Canis lupus familiaris: one gene and its partners. The protein of the gene in region 1 interacts with the protein of each later gene in a pairwise test. Links are inferred from orthologs where the notes say so. Each region holds a gene or a part of one and is shown on either strand. Other genes may lie near its edges. The genes, in order: USHBP1, C15H1orf216, KLHL38, TRIM54, SYNJ2BP, FAM107A and DYDC1.

Region 1 (4,151 bases):
ACTTATATTTGGGATCTAAGATAAAACAAAACGAAAAATTGAACTCACAGTTATAGAGAACAGAGTGGTGGGTGCCAGAGGCAGTGGGGGTGAGGAGAGGAATGTGGGTGGGGGTGAGGAGAGGAATGTGGAGCGGGGATCATCTTTCCCAGCCAGGAAGTGGGCCCCACCCCTTAGGCTGGGCTCTGGTGGCCCCATATCTTGCCACCTTGGCCTGCCCAAGATGAGGGCCTGTTCCCCCATCTCCTTCAGCCACATGGCTTTAGATTCCATCCACATGTTAAAGAGGTCGGGATGTGTTTCTCTTGTCCTGACATCTCCCCTGAGCTCTGGATTCTGACCCCACAACTGTGTCTTTGATGGTCCTACATGGGTGGCTCAGGGGTTTCTTGAACTCATTAGGGTCCCAACAGCTCCTGGTCCTGCATTTCTGGCTCCCAGTCCCGCAGGCCCCCAAACCAGGACTTGTCCTCAACCCTTCTCTGGCTTTCACACCCAAACCTGCCAGCTCCACCTTCGACACCACCCAGAATCTGCCCACTTTGTGCCACCTCCACAGTTTCCACCATCTGGTGTCTGGACCAGTGCCTCGCGGATCCGCCGGCTGTTCCTCCCATGCCTACCAGAGGGCGCCTGTGACCGCGGCACCAGGTCCCGCCCCTTTCTGCCGCGGGAGGGCGAGGGTGGGGGGGCGAGGGGGAACCCCCCAGGAGCCCACCAGGCTCAGGGCCAAAGCCCAACTCCCAGAAGCCCACAGACCGTGTAAATCTGCCCCCATCACTAACCTGCCCTCCCCTCACCCCCACACTGGCTTGCTCACTGTTCCCTGACTCACACTCCCACCTCTGGAAGGGAGCTCCTTCTCCGCCTGGCATGCTCTTTCCCCAGATCCTTGCATGGCTCCTCCCTTACCTCCTGGCTCAAGTGTCACCTCCTCAAGGGGCATCTCTGACCACCTTATCTAAGAAGGCAAGGCACCTTTGTTCAGGGCTCTGCAGCAGTCAACGCTCCATAAAAGTTTTTCTCTTTCTTTTTTTAGATTTTATTTATTTATTCAGAGGAGACACAGAGAGAGAGGCAGGCTCCCTGTGGGGAACCTGATGTGGGACTCGATCTCAGGACCCTGGGATCATGACCTGAGTCAAAGGCTCAACTCAAGTCAACCACTGAGCCACCCAGGCGTCCCTCCGTAAGAGTTTTTCTAATGAACAAACAATGGAAGGTTGCCTATGCCAGGCCCGCCTCCCCCTTAGACAGAGAACCCTCAGAGGTAGAGCACAATACGTCGAGACCCTCACCTCTCTCTGCAGCATCTCCTTCTCCCCCTGGATGGCCTGCAGGGAGGCCTGCGTGCGAATCAGCTCCTCCTCTCGGCTGCCCAAGGCCAATCGTAGCCAGTCATTCCTCTCTGCCAGGCTGGCTGCCTCCCTCTGGCAACCACTTGCCCCCTCCTGCTCCAAGCAGGGCCTTGGTCCCACCTCACTTCTGTCCTCTGCCTCCCCGGGCCCAGGACAGCTGGGGGGCCGGCGGCGCCAGGCAGCCGCCGCCGCCTCCAGGGAGCTCAGAGCATGCTGGAGAACCTGAAACACGTCAGAGGCTTCAGGCCTGGGGGGGACAGTCTCCCCATCCTGTGGAGCTACATCTCTGGCCTGGTGGCCTTCCTCTGCAGGCTTGCGGGGTCCCTCGGGAGATGGGGCCAGTCCTCTGCTAGAGTCCCCCTCAGCCTCTTTGTTGGTCCTGTGGTGAAGTGAGAGACAGAAGGTTCTGGAAATGGGGTCATCTGGGGTGGCTGGCTCACAGAGGGTGCATTATCCGGGGCCTTGAAAGTTGGGCAAGGAGGGCAGTGGGAAGCTACGGCGTGTGTGTGAGCAAGGGAGGAACACAGGTAGATCTGTGGGGAGGAAAGACACACCAGGGCCGGAGTGGGAGCCCAGACGGAGGGGACCTTACCTGTTCCCAAGGCCCTGCCCACTGGCCTCTGCCTCTGGCCCCTGCAGCCTCGGCTCGCAGCTCTCCTGAGATGGCACAGGGCCCAGCTCAGAGCTCCCGCTGGCTGCCTCAGCCTCCTCTGAACTCTCCGCCACGGGATCCAGCTCCCCCTGAAAATGACCCACAGGGCCAAGCTCCGAGCCAGGCCGGGGGCGAGGGGGTGAGTGACCCCAAAGAGCTGGATGCGGCAGGGAAGGGGGCACTTACAGGTGGCGCGTGCCTCCCTCGCCGGCTTCGGGGTCGCGTGGCCCGGGCACTCATTGCTGTCCAGAATTCAGTCCTCTGATTCTTTTTCCGAAAGCCGCAGCCTGATCTCGGCTCTTGTCTTTGTTGGTCTGGGCGAATGACAGCCTTAATACCTTCTTCTATGAAATGAGCATCGATCTCCTCCCGCTGGGAGGGATCTTGAATTACCAGTGTTGAGCTGGCACATTTGAATACCCCTCCTGACAGGCAGCTCACTACCTCACAAGTTTGTTCCCACCTCCCCTTGTCTTTTGCCTCCTTTATCTTTCACTACCTCTGTGCTCCCCTCGGTCCCCAATCTGGACCTGGCTCGAGGACTTCAAGAATCACCTCTCCTCCCCAGGGTCCTCTTGAGTCGGAGGCCCCAATCTTGGGGTTGGGTCCCCTCAGCCTGCTCTAATGCTACTCCTCTGTACCTCTAGGAATACCTTGGTCAGCAGCCCAAATCCCTGGACACTCTTGGGGTAGCTCTGGCCACTGCTTGCTTAGGCCCCGGGCTGGCCAAGGCTGGCTTGGGAGAGGCCGGGAAACAGGAAGCCCCCTCCCCTGGTCATGTGACTTGTTATTGTGCTATTTCCTCCTCAAGGACATCAGCTTCCTCCAGTCCCGGTGGGACACACATGTCCAGCTCCTGACCTGTCGGTCCTTCCTTGCCCCAGCCTCCAATCTCATGTCTCTTCCGCCTCTGAGCCTCAGTTTCCTTATCTGTAAAATGGGGGGGGGGGGCTTTAATTATAGGATCTGTCTACAGTGTCATGGGAATTTTAACAAGCAACTTGCACATGACTGAGCACCATCCAAGAACTGAATTGTAACACACCACTCTTGTTCGCTGCCTCTCCGGCCCTCCCATCTCTGCTTCCTCTGCCAGCTGCTGCTTCTCCTGGATTCCTCAGGGCACAGATCGCCCCTACATCCTGCCCATTTTTCCTGCATCCATCTCTAAAGGGCCTCGTCATCTCCCTCCATAACAGCCCAACCCTCTCCCCTCTACCGGGATGCCAGCCCCTCTCTCTCCGTGGACTCTACAGCCACCCACCCCTTGACTCCCTTCCCCTCCCAGGCCCCAGAGACAGAGACCTCATTGTTCACCTCTTCTGCTCACACACCCTCCATGACTCCCCATTGCCCTTGGGAAACATTTCAAGCTCTTCTACCCGGCATTCGAGGCCCTTAAAAATAATGCCTGCTGTCTGCACCCATGTATACTCCATGCTTTAGCCATGATGACCCCTCTGTGAACAGGTGAAGGTTCACAATTCTCACATCCCAGGGCCTTTGGTTATGCTGTAACCCTTTCCTTGTTTCTGCACTTGGCTTATTTTTTATTTATTATTTTTTAAAGATTTTATTTATTCATGAGAGACACAGAGAGAGGCAGAGACATAGGCAGAGGGAGAAGCAGGCTCCCTGCCGGGAGCCCGAAGCAGGACTCAATCCCAGGATCCCTCGGGATCAGGACCTGAGCTGAAGGCAGCCGCTCAACCACTGAACCTCCCAGGTGCCCCTACACTTGGTTTAAACTGCGCAGAGCCTGGAGTAGCCTGAATCTTCCTCATTCCGCTGACAGACAGAGGAGGCTGAGTCTTCCTGCTTCTGCGTCCCCAAAACTGGTAAGGAAATAAGTTGCAATTCTCTGACTTGGGGGCACCCAGGCACATTGAAATCTACACTCTTAGCCTCTGCTCCAGCCATTTTTTTAAAAAAAGATTTTATTTATTTATTCATGAGAGACACAGAGGCAGAAACAAGGCGGAGGGAGAAGTAGGCTCCCCGCGGAGAGCCTGATGTGAAACTTGATCCCAGCATCCTGGGACCACCACCTGAGCTGAAGGCAGATGCTCAACCACTGAGCCACCCAGGCGCCCCTGCTCCAGCCATATTAACCTCTTAAAGGTTCCATCGCTCCAAGGCTC
Region 2 (3,350 bases), on another chromosome or scaffold:
CAAGGAACTGAAAGTGACTTCCCTTGGAGAACTGAATGCTCCAACAAATAAGACCCCAGACCCTGGGCTGACTCTTTGGCTGCAGCCTTATGAGAGATTCCTACAGAAATTGTGAGATAACAAATGTGTATTATTTTACGTCCCTAAGTTGTGGGGTAATTTGTTATGCAGCAAGAGATACTTTATACAGATGAATTTTTGAGAAGCTAATTAATAAATCATCATACAAACCAATGTAAGACAGAAGGTCGGGTCTAGATTGGCACAGTGAGTCTCGGAAATCATATGCATGTACCTAACCCCATCTGTCAGAACCATCTGAGGAGCCTAACTCAGTCTTTTGCAGTCAGGGCACCCTTCAGGGAAGTGGTGGCTCTAGGGCAGGGTTGAGTAGGAGTGTGGTGGGGAGGGAGGGAGCATATGTATCCCTCACCATCGATGCCTACCGCCCCCTATCTTCAGGCCCAAAGGTGCCTTAGGACAAGGGTAATCCCATAAGGTGCTGTCAGGCTGAGGCCAAGTCTCCTCCGTCAGACTGAGAGGCCTCTGAGGAGAAACTCTTTGCCACCCCCATCAGCCACAGCAGGCTGGATTCCTCCTCCCCGGTGACTCCCCCCTCCATCGGTCTCCTCGCTCCCAGCCCAGAACCCTGCTTATAAGGGCAATTCAGATGGTGTCGAAAAGGGGCCACCAGGCACTGGGTGCAACAGAGACACAAACTCAAGAAATGCATTTCGCTGCCCCAGTTTATTCACCCTGGCTTGGCCCAGAGACCAGGTTCAACATGCAAGGGTGAGACACAGAAGTCCCCAGGACCATTGCTTCAGCCTCAGTCCCAATACCCTTCACCCCCCCCACACCTGTCAGGGATAGAACTCCTGAGAGGCAGGAAGAGTACCCGCATTTTGCAGACAGGGAGACTCAGCATCATGCCTCTGCTCATCTACCAGGATCCTGCTTCCTCATGGCTCCCAAAAGCAAAGCAGAGCCCCCGGCTGCTTTAGTCCTTGGTTGTCCCCAGAATTCACCCACTCTCCGTTTCATGGGAACCTGTCAACCCCCGCTGAAAGGGCCATGCAGTGACCGAAGGGTGATGACCCAGTATCCTGAGAGTTTCCAGGGGCTGCGCTGCTGGCCCCCCTGTGCGCCCTGGAAGGCTGACCACGGCTCCTCTGGGCCCAGGCAGCCCGACCGCAGGAAAACAGGCCAACCGAATCTGACTTCCCGCGACGCTAAAGCCGGAGGGGGACAGCAAGTAGAGGCACAGAGACGAAAGGGAGCTTTCCTTCCCCGGCAGTCTTGGAACACCTTGTCCGGCCCTCGCAGGCGCGTCAGCACATTCGCTCTTATCAGAAGCTTCAATCTATATGACCTGCAACAGCTCCTTGGACGTGGAGAACATGGAGAAGCTGGTTTGTCTCCAGGTGGTAGTTTAGAATCCGCATTCTCCTAGTCCTCACAGGGTCTGCGGCTGTCATCTCCCCTCCCCATCTCCCCCCCCCATCTCCCCCGTGCCCTGAGGCAGAGTCCAAGGGGGACAGTCCTTTATCTTCTCTGATCCCCATCCCCCCGTCCCTGCCCCAGTGGCCATCACCACCCCCAGCGCCCCTCCCTCATTCTAAGTCTCTACCAGTTGCCAAAACTGTGGCCAAAAAGCCGTGGCAGGCCGGAGCAGCCCCCACACCTCCCACAGCGACTCTACTATCGGGGGACAATGGCCCTAGTAGAGCAAAGTCAGAGGGAGAGAGCAGGGGGTGGCCTGGGAAACCTCAGGGGCCTGGGTCATCCACACCCGCACATATGACTGCAGGCGCCCCTCCTCTGGACCGATGGGACCCTGTGGAGAAAAGAAGGCTGGGGTTGGCGATGGGAAACACAGGGTGGGGAGGCCCCAGAGAAGCAACTGAGTACGGATCTGTAGATACTTGCTTAGGAGTTGGCCTGCAAACACACATGCTCCAACTACACACTTCCTGGGCCTGGCCCTGCACACGCAAAGGCACTTTCACATACACCCACCACAAGCCCACACACTCAAACTCACTCATCTGCACACACACCTTTTGCATATATATCCTCGCTCACGTACACATATGCACAAGCATACCTGTTCACGCCTACATATACACACTCACGCCTTCCTACACGTGTGCTGTAAACACATGTGTATGCATTCACAAGTAGGCCTGCACCTAAGCTGGCTTTGTGGACACACGGTACACAGGTGCTGATTCACACAGGCCTGGCTGCACGTTAGCACATACGTCCTCACTTTTGCTTACCTGCACTCACGCCAGCCAAGGATTATGTACTTACTTGTGCGCAACCCCACACATGCCTGCAAATATATCCATGTACCCCTGCCCCCCTGTGGAGGCACACCCTTAGCCCTGATCCTGGGGCCCGGATGGGGCCACCCTCTGTTGGAGGCAGCGGATGAGCTCCTTCCGGTTGTCTAGGATGGTGTCGAAGCTCTCCTGCAGACGGGTCTGCTGGTCAACCAGCTGGTGCTGCAGGCCGCGGATCCACTGCAGCAGGGCCAGGCGACGGTACATCACCAAGTGCACGTGGTGCTTCTCCTTCTCCTGCTCTTTGTAGCGCTCCTGAGCCTGCAGCTGCCGCACCGCCTGGGCCACGGAGGGCAGAAGGGGATCCTGAGGGCCCGGGCCCCGAGGGGTGCCGCAAGCGGGCTCAGGACTGCTGCCTCGGCTGCTGGTGCTCAGGGAGCTGCTGGCGTAGCCATTGTCCTCCAGGGGGGAGCAGACGGTGCTGGCCCCACTCATCTTCTCGAGCTTGGCCCTAGGGATCTCCTCCCCTTCTGGTGGGCTGCGCACCTCCCCCTCGGCAAGTCCAGGGGCCTGGAAGGCCTGGTTGTCAGAGGGCAGCTTGGAAGAGCTCCTCATCAGCACGGGCTCCCCTTGGCCTGGCATCCCATGCCAATTCTCATTGGCGTCTTTGGCACTCGCCAAGAAGTTCAAGTTGCTGTCTGGCTGGAGCTCAGGCTGACATCCTCCAGGCGGGGCCCCAAGGAACTGGGCCCCCTCGGCTACCCCTGGCCGGATGGCAAACATCTGGTCTGCAAAGGGGAAGCAGGAGAATGAGTTAGAGTAGGACTGGGTCGGGGGTGGGGAATGGGGTGCCCCAAGTCGTGGCAACCTCGCTGCCGGGGTGCGGGGGCAAGGCCGCGGGTGGGGGCCAGAGGCTCCACTTCAGTCCCTTTCCCTCTGACAACACCTCCCCTTGTGGCTCTCCTCCCCTCCCCTCTCTCTGTTGGCTCCATCTCCAGCAGAGGCTCTTCTCAGCCCCCTGAGGCAGATTGTCTGCCCAGGACCTCATCTTCTTTTTTTTTT
Region 3 (3,618 bases), on another chromosome or scaffold:
GGCAAAGTTTCAGACCCCAGGAGGAGGAACTAAAGTGCAAAAAAAACAATTTAGGAAGAAAGGAAAAATCCAGAAGGTGAACCTGGAGATCAGGGCAGGGAGGAAGGCTCCAGCTTGAGGAGCACTCTGGTTCTAGGTTCACGGCAGTGAGACCCATTCCAGATGCTTCCATTGCTGGGGAGAAGACTTTGCCTGTGCTGCTGTGCTGTGACAGGCTGTGACACAGGGCTGGCTGGAACACGTTGGGAAGGGGGTCAACACACGAAGGTTTCATATGGTTGAGCCGGGAAATGGTTCTTAATCTTGACTGTATGTTACAATGGCCTGGGCCCACCTCTGAGAATCCCTGTCTGTCCATCTGGAAGGGGGCTTGGCCCCATTTTCAAACACCTTCTCAGGTGATGGTGATGTGTCACCATCTTTGGTTTATTCTGAACTTGGGTCAGGAGCCAGCTTGGGAGGCACTTTGAGACCAAGGGGGCCATGGGGATCGATATTCAGCCCTGGTTTGGAGAGGGCAATAATTGCTGGAATCCCTGGAGGAATTTGTTGGCTTTCCTCAGAAGAGCGATTCTCATAACATTTACCAAAATGAAAATCCTGATTAATTCTGCAGGTTTATAGCTCCCCAGAGGCTGGAGAAAAACATCATTTGGCACCAGAAACAAACTTTATTCTGGCCACATAGATAATTTTGCAAACGCTAGATACTGCATTGCACACTTTTTCCCGAAATTCCAATTTACTGCATCCATAGAATGCAAAGAAACACAGTCATGGCCAATTTTCCACATTGCCACCTGGACCATGTGCTTCCAGGGACCCTTTTGTTCTGGATTTCCATGATGACCTGGGCAGATGTGGTTTGGGTCAGGCCAGCAGTTCTTCCTTTGGGAAGCTGCATCTATCTCCTCTGTGCTGTTTGGATGAGCTGTCAATGGTGACAGTCAACCTCTGCCTGTAGGGATGTGATCCGGGATTACACAGTTATAGCAGCACAAGCCCTGGAAACAATGATTGGCTCAAGAGGAAGGCAGGGAATTAAGAAATGGCCAGTTGGGATTATTTTCAGGGTTAATACATGGAAAACGGTAAAGTTCTTGCCTTGTGAAAAGGCAACGTTAGAAAATGTGAGTCTAGGATTAGCAGTTGCCATTGTCTTCATACTTTGTGGATACAGCAGCTTGCTTGTAGCATGACGTCTGACAGAGATGAGGTAGAGAAGGAGGGAAAGTGGGGAGAGAGGGGGAGAGAAGGTGGGGGTGTGAAGAGTTCTGCCAACAATATGCCTGCTTTCAGGCTTCTGGGCTCTGGGATTTCCAGTCCTGTGGGCACTCCCTGCATCCTTGTGGGGTTGAGCTCCTTGGAGTTGGGCTTCCATCTCTTGCAACAGAAAGGATCTTGACAAAGACCCTTGGTTTCTGGAAGCTTCATGGGGAGGTGTGGATATGGGGTATGCACTGCAGAGTGAGGCAGGCGTGGTCAAAGAGTTTGTGAGGCAACTGTCCCTGGGACGTCCAGGTGTCTGTCTCGGGGTCATAGCAGTCAAAGGAGGCCAAGTCCTCGATGTTGCAGTCTGTGGTCAGCCGCCGGCCCCCGGTCACATACAGCTTGTTCTCCATCACCGTGGCCCCGTGATGCATCCTCCGGTCCTTCATGTCCGCGCACTTGACAAATTTGTTAGACTGAGGGTCATAAGCAAGAATCCTCCTTGTGTAACCTGAAAACCAATGGCATATCGGCAAGCTCAGCATTGTTCACTTGGGACTGGAAATCTGTGGTCTGCAAACATGTCTGATCTCTGCCATTTCCCAATACCAAGGCTGGACTCTGAGGGTCATAACTCTGAACTAAGGTGTAGAATGTTCTGGAACCTGCCCAAGATCTAGCAGGTGGCAAAGCTGGGGTTTAGACTCAGATCTGTCAGCTTCTGGTCCCTGAATGCTTCATCTCAAGTTAAGGCAGCATTAGTTTGGGAGGAGCTTCCTGATTCCAGCAGCTTCCTCTGTCTCATTGGCTTTTTCAACTCTCTCACATGCTCCCTCCCCACCCCCCCCGCCCCAGACTTAAAAATCCATAGAAGGAGCCTTGGGAATTCAGGAATGGCTCCCACAATAGCCCTATCTGGCCCACACTTTTAGGATCCCCATTTTCCAGATGTGCAAACGGAGGCACAGGAAAAGATGAATAACTTGCCCGAGAGTATATAGCCAGGGAAAGAATCAGGATTTGAACCTGACCCTACAACCAGTTCTCTTAGCCGAGACACTATACTGTAATCGCAGAGAAATGATCTATTAGTGGCTAATATTATTAGCAGTAGCAAACATTTTTTGAGTATTTGCCATGTATCTGGGATAGTGCTAAGTGCTTCAGATATATGAGCACATTTTATTATCACAACAATTCCGTGAAATCGGTATTATTTCATTCTTTGTTTACAGATAAAGACAGGGAGAAACTTCTGGATGAGAAAAGAACTTTGTCAAGTCATCCACACTCCCCTAGTTGGATGGTTGTGCTTTTAAAAACACTGTTTCGTAGAACAACATCTGTCTACTGGTGACCCTTTTTCCATGGGAGATGCCAAGTTTGTGTCCAGCCTAGAGATCCTCTGTTCAAACTCACCTCCTACGATAACAATCCTCTCCCCGAGCACCACTGCGGGGGCACACACATTCTTGATCATTCTCGTCTCCATTTTGAACCATGTGTTTCTGGAAATGTGATAAACCTGAGGGAGAAATATAATCATGGCGCTACATTGTAAAGTGATATGTATTTTTAAAAAGATGAAGTACTATTAAAGAGAGTGAAATAAGACTGACTCTTTTTCTTTTGACTTTTTAAAATGTAGGTAGGTAAATTATTATCAATAAAATAAAATAAAATAGCAGAAAGTACATATCACTAAAAATTGGTCTTTATGTGACCCCATGAGATCCTTGGCTATGTCTCTATAGAATGGACCGAGAGTTATGCATTGTAATATGTGTTTACTTACCTTGCTTGGAACATTTTTTTTTCTTTCGGGAAATGGAGCAGCTCGGGTATTCATAAAACCAATGATTTTTCAATCATTTCTATTTCCAGCTCATGTTTAAATTTCTAAATGTTCCAGTGTATCAGGGAGGGCCTTAGAGCCAAGAATACATTTGGGGCTAAGTGAGGAAGGCTTTTGAATAGTTCATGCCTGAAAGTCATTAGAATCATAGAGGAAGCATGAGAAAAGAGAGAAAGAGCAAAGAGGTGGGGCAGGGCTCCTTGGCCACGTTCTGAAATAGAGTCACAAATCATGATTCCCAGAACATGTTCCCTTCAGTGTAAATAAAGTTTAAATATCAAATGTAAATTAGTTCACTACTAGCAAAATTTACTACAAGAGATTCAGGATGGATTTCATAAAAGAAGGAGCAAAACATTTATTTACCGAAGTAAGTGACAATTCTTTCTATATTAAATATAATTGCTACCATAGGAAAGGCTCTTATTTTTTATCATTTTGCCAGATTTATCTTCACAACCATCCTATGAAGTAGGTACCCTTACTTGCCCCCATTTTTCAGATTTGATCATTGATGCTCAGAGAGGTTAAGTGACATGCCCAAAGTCACACAA
Region 4 (4,440 bases), on another chromosome or scaffold:
GCAGAGGGAGAGGAAGAAAGAGAATTTCAAGCAGGACCCAGGCTCAACCTCACACAGGGTTTTGATCTCATGATCCTGAGATCATGACCTGAGCCACAATCAAGAGTCAGAAGCTTAACAGACTGAGCCACCCAGGCACACTTCTGCAGCCATTTTAAAATGAAAATGCGGATCTGAATGTGTGCAGATGGAACAACTACAGAAAGAGTAAGTGAACAAAAGCAGATTTAGGACAATGAGTGTAATTTAAACACACAAACATAGGTGGACCTATCCATGGAAAATCTCTGGGAGGGTACCCAAGAAAATTGGAAATGGCTACCTCTATTTGGAGAAGGGAAGTGAGAGCCTGAGGTAGTCATTTTTCATGCTATAAACTCCTATACTATTTTTTAAAGTGTGTGTGTGTGTGTGTGACACTGTAACTTTTATAAGTTCTATTAACTTTCTAGGCAATGTTCTCAGGGTATTCTTCCTAAGTGGTTTTAAGATAGAGTTACCAAAAGTCTTATTCTTGTTCCCATACTTAGAAAACAGACAATCTGATTATGCCTACAGTTGTCAAAATGTGGAGGCAATGTGTGAAAAAACTAAATATGCTCATCTTTCAGAGGGAGAACTACTGAGATGTATATACATAAGTGCAGCCAAAGAACTGGGTCAGCCTCCCACCAGGCTGCCCCAAATAAAGCAGAGCAAGGAAATGAGCTGTTCACTCTTCTCCTTGGTGGGGGATGCCCAGGGGTGCTCTGCACTTTAAAAGAGACATATCAGTCCAGATCCACAGAACCATCTCAAAGTTCTGGGAACCATGTTGTTTCCCAAACATTCTGCATAGGGTTCAGCCCAGTCTCAGTTCTCTCTGGGTCCAATCAGTATTTCAGAGCTTTAAGGCACCAAAATGGTGCACCTGGATATAGAGCACTGACTAGAACAAGGGAGGCCACTTAAACATTCTGTAGCCTCCATACAGAGAGCTTTTCCCTGGGACCCTCTGCCCGATGATACTATATGCTTCGTACTTTGATACTCTGGTGGCTTTTTTTTTTTTTAATAGGACAGATTACCTTCACTTTCAAAACTTCTCTTTGCTTTCATGTATTTCCAGATCTAATGGAAAGATGTTTCACTACAAATTCATGAAAAGTGATGGCAAAACCTTGTTGCCATTCCCTCCTAGGCATCTGACTGAAGGATGTTCAGAAATGTACTTAGCCTGAGGAAAACTAAAATAGTGGGCAAGGCGAAGCCTCTAGTACATGACTTGATGTCCAGGATAAGCAGACAGAGCAGTCAGCCCTTCCCAGAGAGGGAAAATCCTTGGCTCTGAGATATTCTGGAGCCAAACAATGTAACGGCAGGCTAAGACACAGAAGAATAGGAGATGGGAATGGGCTTCAACAGGAAGATGGCAGACTGCCAAGGATAGGTCACAGGGCACAGCTATGGGACAGCCTGACTTAGCCAGCCCATTATTTTTTCCCAAACATGCTGCCCCAAAGAACAAAAAAAAAAAAAAAAAAAAAAAAAAAAAAGAAGCATTTTCTTGGTTAACTTTAAAATCATTTGCGTTCAACACATTTCTCCCTGAATTCTGATACAGGTGAAGAATATGTGTTAGTGATGTTCCTTAACACTGCCCTGCCTACTAAGCTAGCTAGCTCTGGTTTATTCAGATATTTTACTTCATTTGCAAGGGGTGTGTGTGTGTGTGTGTGTATGTGTATGCAACTTTTCCCCTTACTTTCTCTGATCTTTCTTCCAGTGGCAGAGGTCAAAATAGAAAATCCATTTATAAACCATTCTGGTATATGCTGCATTTCTTTTTGAAACCAGTAGCTAAAATGACATCTGTGAATTTGATTAGCTATGCTTTGCCCCATGACCGCACATAAACCAAAGCTGGTTGCATTTCTCTACATTCTCTCTACTTAAGTGACCACAATGCTTTTTAACCAGCAGGCCCCTTTATTGACCAATCTGGAGTGGGGCACAAGTGTGAACTTTAGTTGGGGAGAATTCCCAATCTCCTACCCACTCCCACTCTGCCCCAAAAGATGGATGTGTTAAGCTTGGCCTCAAATACAAATACTTTCATCATGGACTGTGCTCATAGGGCTTATTTTTTAATGTTTCATTATCTCATTGATATTTTCTCCAAATCTTCCATATCATTCTCAAAATCTGAAACTCTAGACTGGAATAGAGAGTCCAGTACAGATTGTTAAGCAGCTTAGGGTAGGACCACCTCCCTCCCAGTTTCTAGTTTCTATGGGGGTCTTCTCTCTTCTGCAGATACCAGCTTTCCAGCTGCTGTCCAGGCATGCATAGGCTGTCCTTGCCAGCCTGCAGAGCAGTTGCTGACTCATGCTTACTTTGGGATCTACTAGGACCCCGAATCTTCTGCTCTTCCGCCAGGACAGACACCACCCACTTCATAGAGTACTCTGCCCCATCACCTTCTGGTCTCAGCTCTGACCTGATGAGAAGTCTCCCACAAATCTACACTGCTTTACCTGGCCCTGCCCTCCCCCGATCCCTGGCCCACCTGGAAGACATCGTTGGCACACTTTCGGCACAGGTTGTGCTGGCAGGGCAGGATCACCACCGGTTTGGAGAACATCTCCAGGCAGATGGGGCAAATGAGCTGCTTCTCCAGGTTGTCCATGCTATGTGCATCCCCTAGCAGCGGCTTGAAACCCACTGTGAAGTTCATCCCCTCAGCGATTATGCCTGCCCTGGCCTTGGCCCTAGTCCTGGCCTTCCCTCACTGCCCCTGGACCCTTCCTCGTTTACTTTAGACAGCCCGTAGATTCTTATGGTCCCTTCTACTGCTCACTCTTGAAATAGGTCTGCTATCTCTCCTGTCCCTTCCTCCAACAATTCACCTCGTCTTCAGATAGCTGTTTTCAGATACTTCTCTTTATTCCTTGCTCTGTACCCCAGCCAGGCACATGTAGCTTTATCTGTCCCTCCCTTCCTGAATGATTCTGTCCCTGAAAATTTCTCCTTTTGTTTCCCAAATGATTCTTGTTCACTCTATGGGCAGTACTGTTTGTCCCTCACTTCCCAGAGAGGAGATTAATTTTAACATGGGGGTGGGGAACAAGGGGCATCTGCATGACATTCCAACTCCCAATTTAGCTCATGTAAGGCGAGCCACAGCTGTCACCAAGTGAGTGACCCTGACTCACTCAGGAATGGGTGACTCTCATAAGAGCAGGAGTGAGCTCCACTCTTATGGTGAAAGGTGGGTCTGCAAAGATGTCAAGCTCTCACGCTCAGTAGGCTCTGGTGAGCCCCTGACCCCCATGCTCTGGTGTGGGCTCTTCTTCTAGGGCAACAATGCAGAATCTAAAATGGCCTGGATGAGAACCATACATGGCTCAGGGTGGAAGGAGAGATCTCAAAACCTAGTCAGGACCTCCAAGGCTCAACCTGTGATCCTCACCCTGTTCCGCTGAACCCTGTGATTCAAAACAGGGGCATCAGACACTAGAGGGAAAGACTCTGGTCCAAAACTTCCGGTCCATTCTTGTTCTTGCCTAGAACTTTCTTGTATCACCCTAGGAAAAGAAGCTAAGGGCGCTAGAGCTGGCAGCTGCCCCAGGGCCTGGAACGACCTCATGAGCATGCCTCTGAGAAAGTGTGGGAATCTGGTCCATGAACACATCACTGGAGCAACTCCAAGGACTTTAAATTTGTTGGGAAATCAAGAGAAGTTGAGCTGAGCAGAAAGGACCCGAGTGCCAGGAACCTATTTTGGGCACCAGGGGAATTGGTCTCCAGGGAAATTTTAGAGCACTGACAAAGTCATAATCACAAGGCTCCAGGAAGCCTCTGCCCCAACTCTATAGTTGTTCTGGACTCCTCCTTTCCAAAGCAGGCTGGTCTCAGATAGGGGCACCCACCCTCTGTCTTTTTCTCCCATGGGCCTTTTGCTCTATCCCAGGCATGATTCGTCTTTTTGAGGTCCAACAAATGCATTGGGTTGGACAAAAAAGATCGTTTATTTACTGACATTTCTTAGTCCCTCTCCCAGTCAGGAGAGAGAAGTTTGAGGAGTTACTCAGTTCTGACCTTGGGTGGATGGGAAATAAATGGTGTGGAGAGGTTACCAAACAGGCAATATGAAGAGGCACGAGTGGGGAAAGGGTCTGTAAAAGTAGTATCTTTTCCCTATAAAATGTTTCATGCCCATTTTAAGAACAACATATATGGTGATAAGCCTGCATAAGATGTGGTAAAAAGGATGGAGGCAAGCAACCACTGATGTATGAACTTTGGTCAGCCCACAGGACCCATGGTGAGGAGTGTTGTGCTGTGGTGGAGTCCAGACAGAATCCAAAGGTGAGATAACTACCTCTACACCTCAAATGCATTCATAATTTGCCTGAGCTGAGTCATGGTGGCATAGAATGAGGCTGACAACATCAAGTG
Region 5 (4,014 bases), on another chromosome or scaffold:
GTGAAGGTGAGTGTTTCATTTTTCAAATCATTCCAGAGCACCTGGCATGGTGCTCTGCAGGCTGTCAAGTATAACAGCTATAAATGCTGAGGACTACTCAGCTCTTTCATTCACCAAGTTAAGAATTACACTTGATGAAAACATGAAATGTGGCTGACTAGTGGCCTGATCTGTGCCATTTTGTTATATAAAGGGTTTGGTCAAAAGGGAATATTCATCTATTCAGTGTAATAATTAGCTCATATCACCCTGAACTTCATAAAAATGCAGCATTCACTGAGCATGGACTGTTCTTAACTATCCACCTCCCATCATTTAGGCAGGCACACAACGGAAATGACAAACCTAAGCAGTTTACATTTTTTTCCCCTCAAAAATAAAATCTTTCCCTTGTAACCTATACAAATATTAAATTGCCCTAACCATCACATACAAAATAAACTCTGGGTGAGGAATCTCCATCTCCAGCCCTCATCTCAACTTCAGGTCCTTCTATTAGTAATACCTGTTTTTGTTTTATGGTTGTCAGATGCAATAGGGCCTTAAAAATAATTTATGTTAAAGGAATTTCTTTTCTTCCTCCCCCTCCCATTTTTTTAAGTTTAAACATTCCACAGAGGTCACAAAAAAATGTAATTTAACTTTTAATGAGCAAGAGGGAATTGCATAAGTCATGCAATTATTTAGTTTTACTTGAAATTAAGACAAAACACGGGCATTATTTCAAGAGAAATGGAAAGATTAATTTATTAGTCAATACTAACTCTAGGAAATCTAGATCACTAAATAAGATTTGTATTAGTTATCCAAAATGGATGTGCCAAGGAAGTAACATATTCTTAGTTTGATTATCTAGCAAAAGTTAAAAGAAAGAGCTGGGGCATATTTTACAACATGGAAAAATAGCCTATGTGAAGAGAACAGAAAAACCCATAAAGAATCAAGGAGAATATAAGCTAATAAACAGTTCAGCACCATCATTTTACAGAGACTCCACAGCCAGTATTAGAGCACTTAGTTAAATCAGAGGGAGAGTGAGTTACAAAGGAGACATAACCATTTAATGGTTAATGCCCAATGAGTTCACTTAAGGAGAGAGTGGAAAAGACAGTGAGAAGGTGAGAGAGGCAGTATTTCTTAGGAAAAGGATCTAGAAAGAATTATGTTGGAGCAAACTCTTGATAGGGAGACTGGAGTCATAAATAAGATAGCCCTAGAAAGAAAGAAAGAAGAGAATATGCTGGCCTTCTCCTCTTGTATATGCTCCATCTTTTTCTCTTCAGTCTTCTTTCTTTCTCTTCCTATCTGTTTTACAACTTTTGTCAGGCATTTCCTCCCTCTCTTCTTTCCCATATCTTAATTGTCCAAAACATAAACTTGAATCATTCCTTGTTATATGTCCTATATATATTTGTAATATTTAATATATTGTATAGGTCTTTGTAATATTTCTCATATTTGTTTTACTTTAATAAAGTAAAATCCTGTTTGGTGTAAATTTCAAGGTGAAGAGAGCAGTTTTTTTGACATTTACTTTTTGCTCCATGGACATCCATCTCCTACCATACTCTCTAAAAAAAAAAAAAAAAAACTTGAGTGCCTTCCAATAATTTCTTTTCTCTATGAGGCAATGGTCCACATAAGAAAGGCTGCTCATCTTAGCTTATGTTTAATAAATTCTCTCATACTGAGCTAAATGACCTTTTCCCTCCAATTATACCCTTAAAGACTGATTTGTTTTTATATAAAACCATACAAAATATCTATTAATTAACCATACAACCTTCTGTTTAGATACCTAGTCCTAGCTCCTCATTTACTTCTTAGGAGGCAGTACAGCATACTGATTAAGAGTAGGGGCTCCAAATTCAGACAGATCAGTTTTAGTCCTCTGCCACCTACCAGTTGTGTGACCTTGGGCAAGCTGTTTGACCTCACCAAGACTCAGCTTCCTTAGCAGCAAAGTAGTTATAATAATTGTACTCACCTCATAGGGTTACCACAATATTAAACAAACGTAAAGTTCTCAGCATATTGCTTAGCATATGGTGCTCAAAAACTTCTAACCATTCTCATATAATCTACCCTTTACCAAACCTTTTTGAATAATATGGCTGTCCTCTGAACCCCTATACTTTTCAAATGTAACCCAGGCCCCAGTATTCTGGAGAGAATGTGTTATATGTCACTATGAACTGCATAATTTCTGCCTACATGCTATACCATTAACAACCCACTCTTAAATTTTCCTTAATGTTCCACTCAAGTTGATTTCATGTTTTTAGGAGGTCTTTCTCCAGGGAGCTAATATGAAATAATCTACTTGTAAACCTCACAGTATCATTTTGAGATAAAAGGTATTTATCACTGTTTGTATCTTTCAAATTAATAAACAGGATCTAGGAGAAGGTTAATGGTCTGAAAAGAGGCAAAATAGCTGGTGAGAAGGACAAAAATAGGCTATTACTATCCAAAATACTATATTTATATTCTGGATCAGCCAATCTTTCTGGGCTTGCCTGAATTTCTTAACTTGTTCATTTGTTAAATATATATTGAGCATTGCAAGGATGTAAAAGGTTAAAAAAAAGATCTAGTCCCTGCCCTTGAGAAACTTTTAGAAAAGAATCAAATCAAAGCTCACCATATAGTAAGTGTCTTATTACAAACATTAGCTGAATGAAATGGGAGCACAATGGACAGATACCCAAATGAGAATGCATTCAAATTTTTCATCTTCATGACGGGTGAGAAGGGATTTGAGTCTAAAAAGGAAGCTTAATTTCTACCTTCCTTTTTTGTTTCTTTGGAGTAAAGGAAGACACACATTAATCTTTCAATGAAAGGGAGGTGATAAAGTATAACTGAAAAAGGACAATTGTGGGTTTTAAGTCTCTTTCCCCTACATCAGCCCCTCAACCTTTCCTATTCCCTGTTTTTTGAACTTGGTTAAAGTAGCTTCACATTCTGGACTGAAGATGCCTTGTCTATCAAGTAAGGAATTATCCTCTTTGCTCTATGTTTGGGCAGGAAAAGGTGACTGATCAAGGTCCCTCCCACCATATTCTACAATCCAGATATTTCCAGATCCAAAAAGGCAGGCAGAAATCTTCCCAAGGAAAGGGCTAAGGGTAAGAACTGGGGTCTAGGGAGCAAGAAACAGTGAAGGAGGCCGAAGCCAGTTCTCACCGAGAGGATCTTATCACCCTCCTGGAGCCGCCCATCCAGGGCCGCAGCCCCATTCTCTTTGATGCGGCTGACGTAGATGCCACTGTCGTTGGAGACATACTGCTGATCTGTCCCACCGACGATGTTGAAGCCCAGCCCTGAGAAAATCATGGAGGAGTTGTGAAGGAGATAGTGATGAAGTAGAAAGGGATTAGAGAAGAAAGAGAAAGAGGAGAGGCCTAGTGAGGAGGGGAGGCTGGTGAGTCAAACTGTGATGTAACTGGTCAATAGACACAGGCAAGGTTAGTGAAGAGGATCATCAACAGAGGTCAAGAGTACCCAGAGTTGCCCACTTAGGCCAGGCAAGATTAAAAATACAAACACAGAGATCAACATAGTCTGTTTAGTATAAAAAGAAAGATCTATATTCTAAACTCAGTAAAAGAATAACAGTGATTCTTGTAAGATGTACTTCTGTTCATATTCAATTCTGATTCTGCTGGTGGCATTTAAAGGACCCAATTCTTGACTTTCCTGCTATTAATGTAACAGGGTGAGTTCATAAGAAGCAAATGAACTATCTTTAATTTAGTGGAAGAGAGTTTCCTAATCAAAGTTTCCCCTTCATAGTTCCCTTCTCCCAACATTCAGGACAGTTTGCATATGGAGGTGTTTTGGAAAAAAATGGTCTTAGGAGTTTAATTTATTTTTCTATTTTGAGTGTAGGTGTTGGCAGGAATCCTGGGAACTAGAAAGGCAACTGAGGCTTCATGATAGGACTAAACCACCAAATTTACTTTTTCCTTTTCTATGACCAGTGAAAACAACCATGCATTTGGGTAGTCT
Region 6 (4,505 bases), about 14 Mb from region 1:
GTGCAGGGGAAGGAGACCGACTGCCTTCCCGTGTGCTTCCAGAGTTTGGCCTGGAGCTGCTGGGCCTTGTGGAAATGGTCTGACCCTGGCTGCGTGGCCCTGGCAAGTCTTTCCGCCCTTGGGCCTCGGTCTTCCCAGCTGTACAATGGGGAAGGGATTGGACCACTTTGCCAGGGGTTTTCCAGAACTGATTTTATAGCTATGGTTAAGCCATGAGTGTGGGAAGGGGGTCCGAGAAGCCCCCCAGGACAGCTCCGTGACCTTTATAGCACAGGCCAGTGGGTGCTAGACCTCAAACGGCCCAGGCGTGTCACAGACATCCTGCAGAGGCCAGCTGGGTTACTGCCTCCAGAAACAGAGCAGGAGGCATGTGTGGGGGAGGGCTGGGGGGTGGTCCACAGACGGGGGAGCCCCACAGCAGGCCTGGCCTGGGCCGGCTCATAGCCTCTGCTCCAGGCTGGCTCAGCCACTGGCTGGCTGTGGGAAGTCACATTGGCTCATGACTCAGCTTCTTCATCTGCCATGGGTGTGATGTTAATGCCCCTGGTGGATCAAAGGGAGGGTGTGAAGAGCTGACAAGGACGCAGGTAGGAGAGGATCAAACCCAGAGGGAGACGAACGTTGACTAAGGATCTACTTCATCCCCAGGCATGGTGTCATTTAGATTTTACAACAGTGTGAGAAGGATTATTATCTTTAGTCTATGGGGTTGGAACCTGAGGTCCTGTCTTGTCCACGGTCCCCGGGTATTTGGAAGAACTGACTCAGGTGTGTCTGACCTCAGAGCCCGTGTTCCCATTCACCCTCTGCGGCCTCTCCCTGGGGGGCAGCCTCTCCCTGGGGGCAGGAGGAGGGCCTGGGCCCAGCACATGCCTGCTTTTCAGTCTGGGGGCTAGTTCTGATCGGGATGCTGTGCTGAGGAAGATTCTGAGGTCATCTGGACTTCGTGGGAAAGGGTGTAGGGACCGATTCGTGAAGTTTGTCACCGGTGAGAGGAGAGAGAGAGGCAGTCTGTGAGCTGTAATTGCTGTTCCTAGGCTAGACCTTGTCGGGGTCTTTTCCAGGCCTGGGAAGAAGCCGTTCTCCAAGGTGACTGCACCTGCACAGGTAGGATCTAGAGGCTGAGCTCATTCTCCCTTGGGAGAGGGGAGAAGCTGGAAGAATGTTCCTGAAGGGGGCTGGGTGGGGCCAGGGTGCAAAGCTCTGCTGGGAAGGCAGCTCTGGGCTGTATCAGAGAAGACACAAGAACAGCAGGTGACCCACAACAGCAACTGGGGGCTCCCATGAGCATGGCGGGATGGAGAAGGGACAGCCCCAGGACAACAACCTTCTAGGATACTGCTGCTGGGGGTGCTGAGGGGAGGCAGGAGTTTCCAGGCCTGACTTGCACCCGAAACAAAGGAGGTTGGGAGCAGAGGCTGGTGCAAGGCGGCCCCAGGGGTTATCTAACCCAATGCTCATTTTCCAGATGAGGAAACTGAGGCCCAGAAAGCTTGTTCCATGGGGACTGCCAATGATGTGTTTTACTTTAAATTTGAAAAATGTGGGTTGGGCTCGGTTGGCAGAAAATTTAGAGTCATGCAGAACCATAGTTGTTTGAGGGTTAGAGCCCCCGTTTATTAGGGTTGTCTGGGTGACAGGCTGCATGCTACATACTTTATAGCATCCTCTCGTGGCCCCTCCCAAGGGGTGAGGACCAGCCCTACTTTACAGGTGAGGAGCTGAGATCCAGAGATCCAGGGGGGTTCAGTTCCTTATAAGGCAGGTGGAGGAGCTAGGGCCCAGGCAGCCTGACCTTACCGCTGGGGTCACAGTCCTGGTGATGTGGACTGAGTGCGTGTATAAGAATCCCTGGGGAGCCCTGCCTCCCCTTCCCCTGATCCAGGAAGTGTGGGTGAGCCCTAAGAAGGAGACTGTGGAGCAAGCCCCCTCCCATGCCCCATCTCTAATGCAGACACAGGGTCTCTATAGACCACATTTTCAGAAACACTGCATAGGCTCTGTCTACAAATCTCCAACTGAGAGCCCAGACATAGAAGGTGATGCATAAAAATGTGAAGAGAACTCTAATAACAGAACATAGCTTATATATAGCTCACTATGTGCCAGGCACTGTTTGAAACACTTTACATATATTTTTGTTCAGTTAATTCTCACTATAAGCCTCTGAGGTAGTGACTATTGTCCCCATTTTACAGATGGGGAAATGACTTACAGGAAGCGTCAGTAACTTGCCCACCGGTGCTCCCTGGCACACGGGGAAGGTGCGGCCACGGAGCCTGTATGCAGGGAAGTAGAGAGGTGTGTGTCTAAGACCAGAGAGCCTGTGAGGTTGGGCAGTCCAGGTCTGTTCCAGGGGTGGAGAGATCCGAAGGCTTTGTCCTAAGCCCCAGCTAGGTTTCTAGATGCAAATCTTGGCTGTGAGCTCAGGGAGGGAGGCTGGTGGGCAGTGCCTGGCTCAGGCCCATGGAGCTGGCAGGTAGGTAGATGGGGGCTCCCACCCGGTAGGTGCAGTCTCCCTCCCCATGTTCAGGGACCCAGCAGGACCCTCGGGGGCTCTTACCTTCTTCCCATGGACTGCTCCCATGGCACAAAGCGGGCACCAGGCCTGGGTGGGCCTTGGGGGGCCCGGCTGGGGTCCTCCCTGCCGATGCTGATCTCAGGAGCTGGGGCCCAAGGGGTTCCCTGGGCCAGGGTCCCCCGTCCTCTCGTGGCTCATTCTTCTCAGGCACAAAGGAGGCTTTCACAGCTGCTCCTAAGCCCAGAGCTCCTCAGACAGGCTTAGGGTGATTGATCCTGTCAGAGGGGTATGGTGTCCCCAGAGGGCCCACACGTCCTGTGGTCCCTGTAGCTCCTCACTTCCTGCACCCCTGCCTCTCTCAGGAGGGGAGACTGAGGCATCCGTGGGGAGGTGAGAAGCAAAGCCGTCCTCTCACCATGCGGCCGGCAGCTTGAGTACAGCGGGTGACCTCTGGCTGGCCCAGCAGGCAGGACTTGGCCTTCTTGCCAGGCTGGGCACCGATCAGCAGACAGGCCCCAGACAGTGGAGGCTGTGTGGACTAGCTGGGGTATGGGGCTCAGGGCAGGCTTGGCTTGTGTGGGGATGTAAACCTCGGGCTGGGCAGCAGCCCCATTAATAGTAGATCTTTGAAGACACTTGGGGGCAAGGGCTCTCGTGGAGCGGAGACACTGAGAGCAGAGTACTTCATTCAACAGGACAGTAGCCCAGCTGGGGAGGGCTGGTCTGGGCTTAGGCCAGGAGACTATCTGGAGGCTGGATTCCGGGCCCTGGGCCAAGTTCTCAAAGTTCCCCCAGCAGTTACCCTCCTCCTTACTTGCTACCCTCCTTCATTATTATCAACAGCATGGAGCGAGGAGGTTAAGGCCCGAACCAGCCTGGGCTTGAAACCCAACTCTTTCCTCACTGTTGTATGACCCAGGGGGTGGGGGTGGGGGTGGGGGGCATGATTTGACCTCTGGGAGCCTCCGTTTCTTCGTGTGTGTGCTCCTATAATCACACAGCACAGGGTTGCTCTGATGGCTGAAAGAAGTCGGTGTGCACAGCCAGAGCCATTGTTCTCTTAAAGCATAAATCAGATGATGTTATTCTCTGTTTTACACTCTCCCCCTTGACGGAAGAGGGGTAACGATGGCCCCTGACCCCATGGGGCCCTGAGGATGAAATGAGGTGACTTGTGTAAAGCTCTGGGCAGAGGATTTGGAGAATAGGAATTTTCCAGAGAAGTTAGGTGCTGCTTGTTATAATGCTGTTAATGCCACTCGTGATAAAACCACTGCCCATTGGCAAGTCCCAGGTAACCAGTTTGATTAAGCAGAACAGCCTTTCTTAAGAGATGGCTGGGCCAGGGAAAACTTGCAGCCCTGTCTTTCCTCTGTCTAGCACAATGCCTGGCTCCGGGGTGGTGAGGACTTATTGTACAAAGGATTATGAAATGGCAGTTGGTAGTGAAGGGTCAGGATCAAGTATTCTAGATCCACCTTTGCCCATAGAATCAAATTCCCCATGGTCCAACACAGTTCTGTTCCATGAAGTCTTGCTGGCCTCTCAGACCTCATTTCCCATTCCCCTCTCTGCCTGACAATTCCTGGATCATACCACCCTCCTCCTCACCCCAGCACCTTTGCACATGCTGTTCTCTCTGCTGGGAAGGTTTTCCATCTCTCTCCCTTGACTACATTTTTAAATCTCGTGCAATTCTTTCCTTTTTATCCATTAGGCTCAAGGATCACCTCCTCAAAGAAGCCTGCCCTGACCCTCTATGCAAAGTAGCCTCCGAGGCTCTCTGTTCATTTTTTTCTTCATAACATTTATCAGCAACTGGAATGATTTTATTTCTGCGTTTATGGTTCAGCTCCTGCACCTGAATGGCAGCTCCACAAGGGCTGGGACCCAGTCTGTCTCATTCATCAGTTTACCCTCTGGTTCTAAAATAGAGCTTGGCACACTGCAGTCACTCAACAAATATTGGTGGAGTGGGTAAGTG
Region 7 (4,471 bases), on another chromosome or scaffold:
GCTCCTCACACTTTGGCCCCAATTTCTTTTTTTTCTTTTAAGACTTTATTTATTTATTCATGATAGACACACAGAGAGAGAGAGGCAGAGACACAGGCAGAGGGAGAGGCAGGCTCATGCCAGGAGCCCGACGTGGGACTCGATCCCAGGACTCCAGGATCACACCCTAGGCCAAAGGCAGGTGCTAAACCGCTGAGCCACCCAGGGATCCCCTGGCCCCAATTTCTTCTCAGGCTCACCCCAGACCTCTCCCCTGCCGCCAGCATATCCTGGGCTCTGACAACCCTCAGCAGTCTGCCATCCTGACAGCCACGCCTTGCACACCGCCATCTCCAAGACTTCTGCCCATAACGCTTTCTCTCTATCTCCCAGCTGAGGAAACATCTCCTCGCCTGCAAGATGCTGGCCCTCTCTCATTCCCTGGACTTTCCCAAGCAACGCAAAGAAGCCCCACCTTCTCCAAGCGACTCACACAGCACTTGTCATGCACGCCGAGATCGTGTGTGTACACACATGTCTGTCCTCCTGCTAGAAGACAAGCTCCTCCAGCTCCTCAAGGAGTGTGTTTTAATCACAGGGCAGGCGTGCTGGCTCTCCGTGGAGGCACGTGAATGACTTCCTCCATCCTCCCAGTAATGTCCCAGTCTATGCAGTTATGAAGGTGGACAGGAACAATCTTAGACCAGACAGGAAGGAAGGAAGGAAGGAAGGAAGGAAGGAAGGAAGGAAGGAAGGAAGGAAGGAAGGAAGGAAGGAAGGAGAGAGGGAGGGAAGGAAGGAAAGAAGGAAGGAGAGGAAGGGAGGGAAGGAGGGAGGGAAGGAGGGAAATAAGGAAGGAGAGGGAGGGAGGGAAAGAGGGAAAGAAGGAAGGAAGGAAGGAAGGAAGGAAGGAAGGAAGGAAGGAAGGAAGGAAGGAAGGAAAAGAAGGAAGGAGGGAGGGAAGGAAGGAAAGAAGGAAGGAGGCAGGGAGGAAAGAATATAGCAAACACTGTACTTCCGGTGCTTTGAAAAAAAACTATCACTCTCAAATTACCCTTATGGAAACCAGTCACTTCTAAGAATCTAATGAAATGTCTTCATCATTCAGTAAATATATACTATACGCATCATTGGTCAGGTATGAGCTGAACATGAGAGAACAGAATGCCAGCATGTCTAGGCCTGTCCCTGGACAAATGCACCAAATGTTCTGCATAAAATTTCAGAAACAACAACCTCCTGAGGTTCATCCTTCAATCCCCAAAGTGCTCTCTCTCATTTGACGATGGTGAGGGTACAAAATGGTATAACCCCTGCGCAGAGGAATTTGGCAGTATCTAGAAAATTACGTAAGTATTTACCCTTTAAACCATTGATCTCACTTGTCGGATCTTAACTTGCAAAAATATGGAGCGATGATATGTGCATGTGGTTATTTTGCTCCATTACTTAGAACAGTCAAACTGGAGCCTCATCCAAAAGCTCATCATTAAGGGACTGATGAGACACAGCAACACGATGGATGACGGTGCATATATATCATATAAAAGGCACGAGGAAGATCTTTAAAATAGGGAGTGATCTCTAGGACACGGTGCAAAGTGAATTAAAAAGGTGCAGAAATTGTTTATAGAGTAAGCCACCTCTTTTGTTGAAAGCAGTGGGGAAAGGAATGTGTGTATGTGTGCCCATAAACGTGGTCATAAAAACTTAAGCTCTGCAAACTGGCACGAATGAACCGAATTCCCTTTCAAGCTGGCGTTGGTGTCTTCACCACACGGAGAGAAGAATTACAGTATCAGCGAGTGTGAGACGCAGCATCCTCACTGTGCTTCTTCGACGCGACACACTCAAAAAGACAAAAATGACGACAGTGACATCTCAATGTCACTTGAAACATAAAAGAAAGAACAGATTCGTGCTGCTGTTCCAGAAGGATAATACTCGGGAAAGGGACCATGTCCCCAAGGGAGAAACTTCTGGGCTAGGAGTAGAATCTGATCCCGAATCCTCCTGGGCACGGGATAGCAGAGCCCAGGAAGCTCCTTACTTGGCTTCCCTGGTTTCCTGTCCACGAAATGGTGATAAAACCCAACTCACAGGTTGTTATTTTTCAGACACACTAACAGGCATCTCATCTCGGCTCCAGGTAAGAAAGGCCTTTCGCAGAGACACGGCTCCCTCAAGCCTGGAGAGGCCGAACAAGAGATACAAAGAGGTCCCTTGCCCAAGCGGGGGGGGGCCGCCCAGCCTGGCGGGAGGGGAGGGGGTTCGGGTGGAGTTGCCCGATGCGGCACAAAATAATACGGATGGGACCCCTGGGTGGCTCAGTGGTGGAGCACCCGCCTTCGGCTCAGGGCGTGACCCTGGGGTCGCGGGATCGAGTCCCGCATCAGACGTTCCTCGGGGAGCCTACTTCTCCCTCGGCCTGTGTCTCTGCCTGTGTCAATCTCATGAATAAATAAATAAAATCTAATATATATACATTATATCCTATATATATATATAGGATGCCCGGGTCAATATGAATTTTGGAGAAACAGGGAGTAACGCTTAGCACAGGGCAGCATAAGCCAGCTGGTTCGTCGTCTACCTGGAGCTCACCTGTGCCGGGCTTTACCTGGCACCCTCCGACCTGGGGAGCCTGCATGGTTTCCCCATCCTGGGTCTGCAGAGGGGTCTCGGGCCTTCCGCGTCCCCTCCCCCTCCGCCCTGCGTGGCCCCGGAGGACCGGGCGGGGCGGGCCCGGAGGCGGCGGCGCTGCCAGGGCGCGGCACTAACCTCTCAGCCGGGCAGCCCGGGCGCCGCCGGGGCCCCTCCCCGCTCACCAGGCCGAGGCCGCACCCGCGGCTGCCGCGGGCCCCCCCAAGCACCCGCCGCGGGGCGGGGCGCTGGGCGTCCGCGCTGGGCATGCGCACACCCGACGCGCGCACCTACCGGCCCCGCGAGGCGCGTCCCGTCGCTAGGCAACGAGCGCGCGCCCCGGACCCAGGTGGCTCCCTGCACGCGGTAGGGGCGCGGGGGGCGGGCGGGCGGCGGGGAGGACCGGGCGCGGGTGTGGCGGGGCCTGCGACCTGCGGGAGGGAGGACGGAGCGGGGCCTGCGACCTGCGGGCAGGGAGGACCGAACCTGCCACCTGCGGGAGAGAGGACGGAGCAGGGCCTGCGGCCTGCGGGCTGGGAGGATGGAGCAGGGCCTAGAACCTGCGGGCTGGGAGGATAGAACGGAGCCGGTGGGCAGGGAGGACGGAGCTGAGCTTGCGACGTGCAGACTGGGAGGATGGAGCCGAGCCTGAGACCTGCGGGCTGGGAGGACGGAGCCTGCAACCTGCGGGAGGGAGGACGGAGCTGAGCTTGCGACCTGCAGGCTGGGAGGATGGAGCCGAGCCTGAGACCTGCAGGCTGGGAGGACGGAGCCAGAGGCGGGCAGGCCCGTGTGCACTGGGAGGGCCGGGGCGGCGGGGTCGTGGGACAGGCCGCAGAGGGCGCCTGCCCACCCAGGCTGGGAAAGTCCCATGGCCCCCTGCCGGCTCCGCACCTTTGCGGTTGCTGGTGACCCCGCCTGGCCCCTCTTGGGACCAGCACAGGTGCTTCTGCCTCCAGAAGGCCCCGCCTCCACCGCAGCAGGTCTTCCCTGACCTAGTGTTTTGTGGACAACCCTCTGCTAGCATTTCCCAGGTTCTGGATTAATCTGTGTTGGGCGGTGCTGGGCAGGAGCGGCCTCAGCCCCGGCGGTTAAGGCCAGGAGTACCAGAGTGGGCGCTGACAGCTGGGAAGGAGCGGAGGCTCTTGCCCTGGCCAGCAAGCCAGAGCCTTCGGAGATTAAGTCAAAAAATACTTGCGAGCACCCACCGTGCGCCTAGCCCTGGGAGTGTGGTGTGGCAAGGCCACCTCTGTGCTTCCCAGCCTGCCTCCTGGGTTGCTAGGCGGTGAACAGGGAGGGCGTGTGAAGGACTCCCAGAGGAGCTCTAGGAAAACTAGGCCCCTCTCCTCTGCTAAATGTGCCCTTCAGTTTGTGGAGAGAGGGCTGCAAAAGGCACCTCTTTGGCCCCTCCCTCTCCTGGCCCTGAGCTGTGGCTCTGTCATTCTGGCTCTCTTGTCTTTGCATCAAGTTTTAGTAAACCGTCAGGCTCCAAAATTCATGGAGACCATGGTTGAAAACGTGCAATTTAGAGCAGATGCTTCCTCCAGAAAGGATTTGCGGCCTACACAGGAGAGCAGGCGCTCAGGGGCTGGAAAGTGGAGAGGCTTGTGGCAGAGTGGGGATTCCGCTCCCTGGGAAGGGCGGTTCTCCTGCCATAAAGGCAAAGTAGATCTTTAACTGAATCACGTGGGGATTTTGTTAAAATGCAGACTCTGACTGTGGAGGTATGGGGTGGGACCTGAGAATGTGCATTTCCACAAGGTAATGCGATGCTGCTCATCAGGGACCACACTTTGAGTGAAAGGGGTGCAGAAGATTGTTCATACCAGTGCACTGGTTCAGGTGGGCC

What was found.
Region 2: the proteins of USHBP1 (region 1) and C15H1orf216 interact in binary tests that used the Homo sapiens proteins (3 or more experiments, as listed by UniProt). The two-hybrid records come from large-scale screens. The link is inferred for Canis lupus familiaris from reciprocal best matches to the Homo sapiens genes USHBP1 and C1orf216.
Region 3: the proteins of USHBP1 (region 1) and KLHL38 interact in binary tests that used the Homo sapiens proteins (3 or more experiments, as listed by UniProt). The two-hybrid records come from large-scale screens. The link is inferred for Canis lupus familiaris from reciprocal best matches to the Homo sapiens genes USHBP1 and KLHL38.
Region 4: the proteins of USHBP1 (region 1) and TRIM54 interact in binary tests that used the Homo sapiens proteins (3 or more experiments, as listed by UniProt). The two-hybrid records come from large-scale screens. The link is inferred for Canis lupus familiaris from reciprocal best matches to the Homo sapiens genes USHBP1 and TRIM54.
Region 5: the proteins of USHBP1 (region 1) and SYNJ2BP interact in binary tests that used the Homo sapiens proteins (3 or more experiments, as listed by UniProt). The two-hybrid records come from large-scale screens. The link is inferred for Canis lupus familiaris from reciprocal best matches to the Homo sapiens genes USHBP1 and SYNJ2BP.
Region 6: the proteins of USHBP1 (region 1) and FAM107A interact in binary tests that used the Homo sapiens proteins (3 or more experiments, as listed by UniProt). The two-hybrid records come from large-scale screens. The link is inferred for Canis lupus familiaris from reciprocal best matches to the Homo sapiens genes USHBP1 and FAM107A.
Region 7: the proteins of USHBP1 (region 1) and DYDC1 interact in binary tests that used the Homo sapiens proteins (3 or more experiments, as listed by UniProt). The two-hybrid records come from large-scale screens. The link is inferred for Canis lupus familiaris from reciprocal best matches to the Homo sapiens genes USHBP1 and DYDC1.

What each region holds. Positions count from the first base shown.
Region 1 is NC_049241.1:45,884,201-45,888,351, reverse strand, and holds the start of USHBP1 (Usher syndrome type-1C protein-binding protein 1), read right to left. Parts: upstream 2,801-4,151; 5' UTR 2,664-2,800; intron 2,383-2,663; exon of another isoform or gene 2,325-2,382; 5' UTR 2,251-2,324; coding exon 2,197-2,250; intron 2,100-2,196; coding exon 1,951-2,099; intron 1,738-1,950; coding exon 1,299-1,737; intron 1-1,298.
Region 2 is NC_049236.1:6,517,691-6,521,040, reverse strand, and holds the end of C15H1orf216 (UPF0500 protein C1orf216 homolog), read right to left. Parts: intron 3,077-3,350; 5' UTR 3,072-3,076; coding exon 2,385-3,071; 3' UTR 729-2,384; downstream 1-728.
Region 3 is NC_049234.1:22,342,446-22,346,063, forward strand, and holds the end of KLHL38 (kelch-like protein 38), read right to left. Parts: intron 2,735-3,618; coding exon 2,629-2,734; intron 1,721-2,628; coding exon 1,431-1,720; 3' UTR 652-1,430; downstream 1-651.
Region 4 is NC_049238.1:21,321,999-21,326,438, reverse strand, and holds the start of TRIM54 (tripartite motif-containing protein 54), read right to left. Parts: upstream 3,081-4,440; 5' UTR 2,717-3,080; coding exon 2,549-2,716; intron 1-2,548. UniProt on the Homo sapiens protein: May bind and stabilize microtubules during myotubes formation.
Region 5 is NC_049229.1:44,326,651-44,330,664, forward strand, and holds part of SYNJ2BP (synaptojanin-2-binding protein), read right to left. Parts: intron 3,327-4,014; coding exon 3,190-3,326; intron 1-3,189. UniProt on the Homo sapiens protein: Regulates endocytosis of activin type 2 receptor kinases through the Ral/RALBP1-dependent pathway and may be involved in suppression of activin-induced signal transduction.
Region 6 is NC_049241.1:32,298,103-32,302,607, reverse strand, and holds the start of FAM107A (actin-associated protein FAM107A), read right to left. Parts: upstream 2,925-4,505; 5' UTR 2,588-2,924; coding exon 2,564-2,587; intron 1-2,563. UniProt on the Homo sapiens protein: Stress-inducible actin-binding protein that plays a role in synaptic and cognitive functions by modulating actin filamentous (F-actin) dynamics. Mediates polymerization of globular actin to F-actin. Also binds to, stabilizes and bundles F-actin.
Region 7 is NC_049225.1:30,231,376-30,235,846, forward strand, and holds the start of DYDC1 (DPY30 domain-containing protein 1), read right to left. Parts: upstream 2,933-4,471; 5' UTR 2,917-2,932; exon of another isoform or gene 2,761-2,916; intron 2,736-2,760; exon of another isoform or gene 2,584-2,735; intron 614-2,583; exon of another isoform or gene 473-613; intron 1-472. UniProt on the Homo sapiens protein: Functions as part of axonemal radial spoke complexes that play an important part in the motility of sperm and cilia. Plays a crucial role during acrosome biogenesis.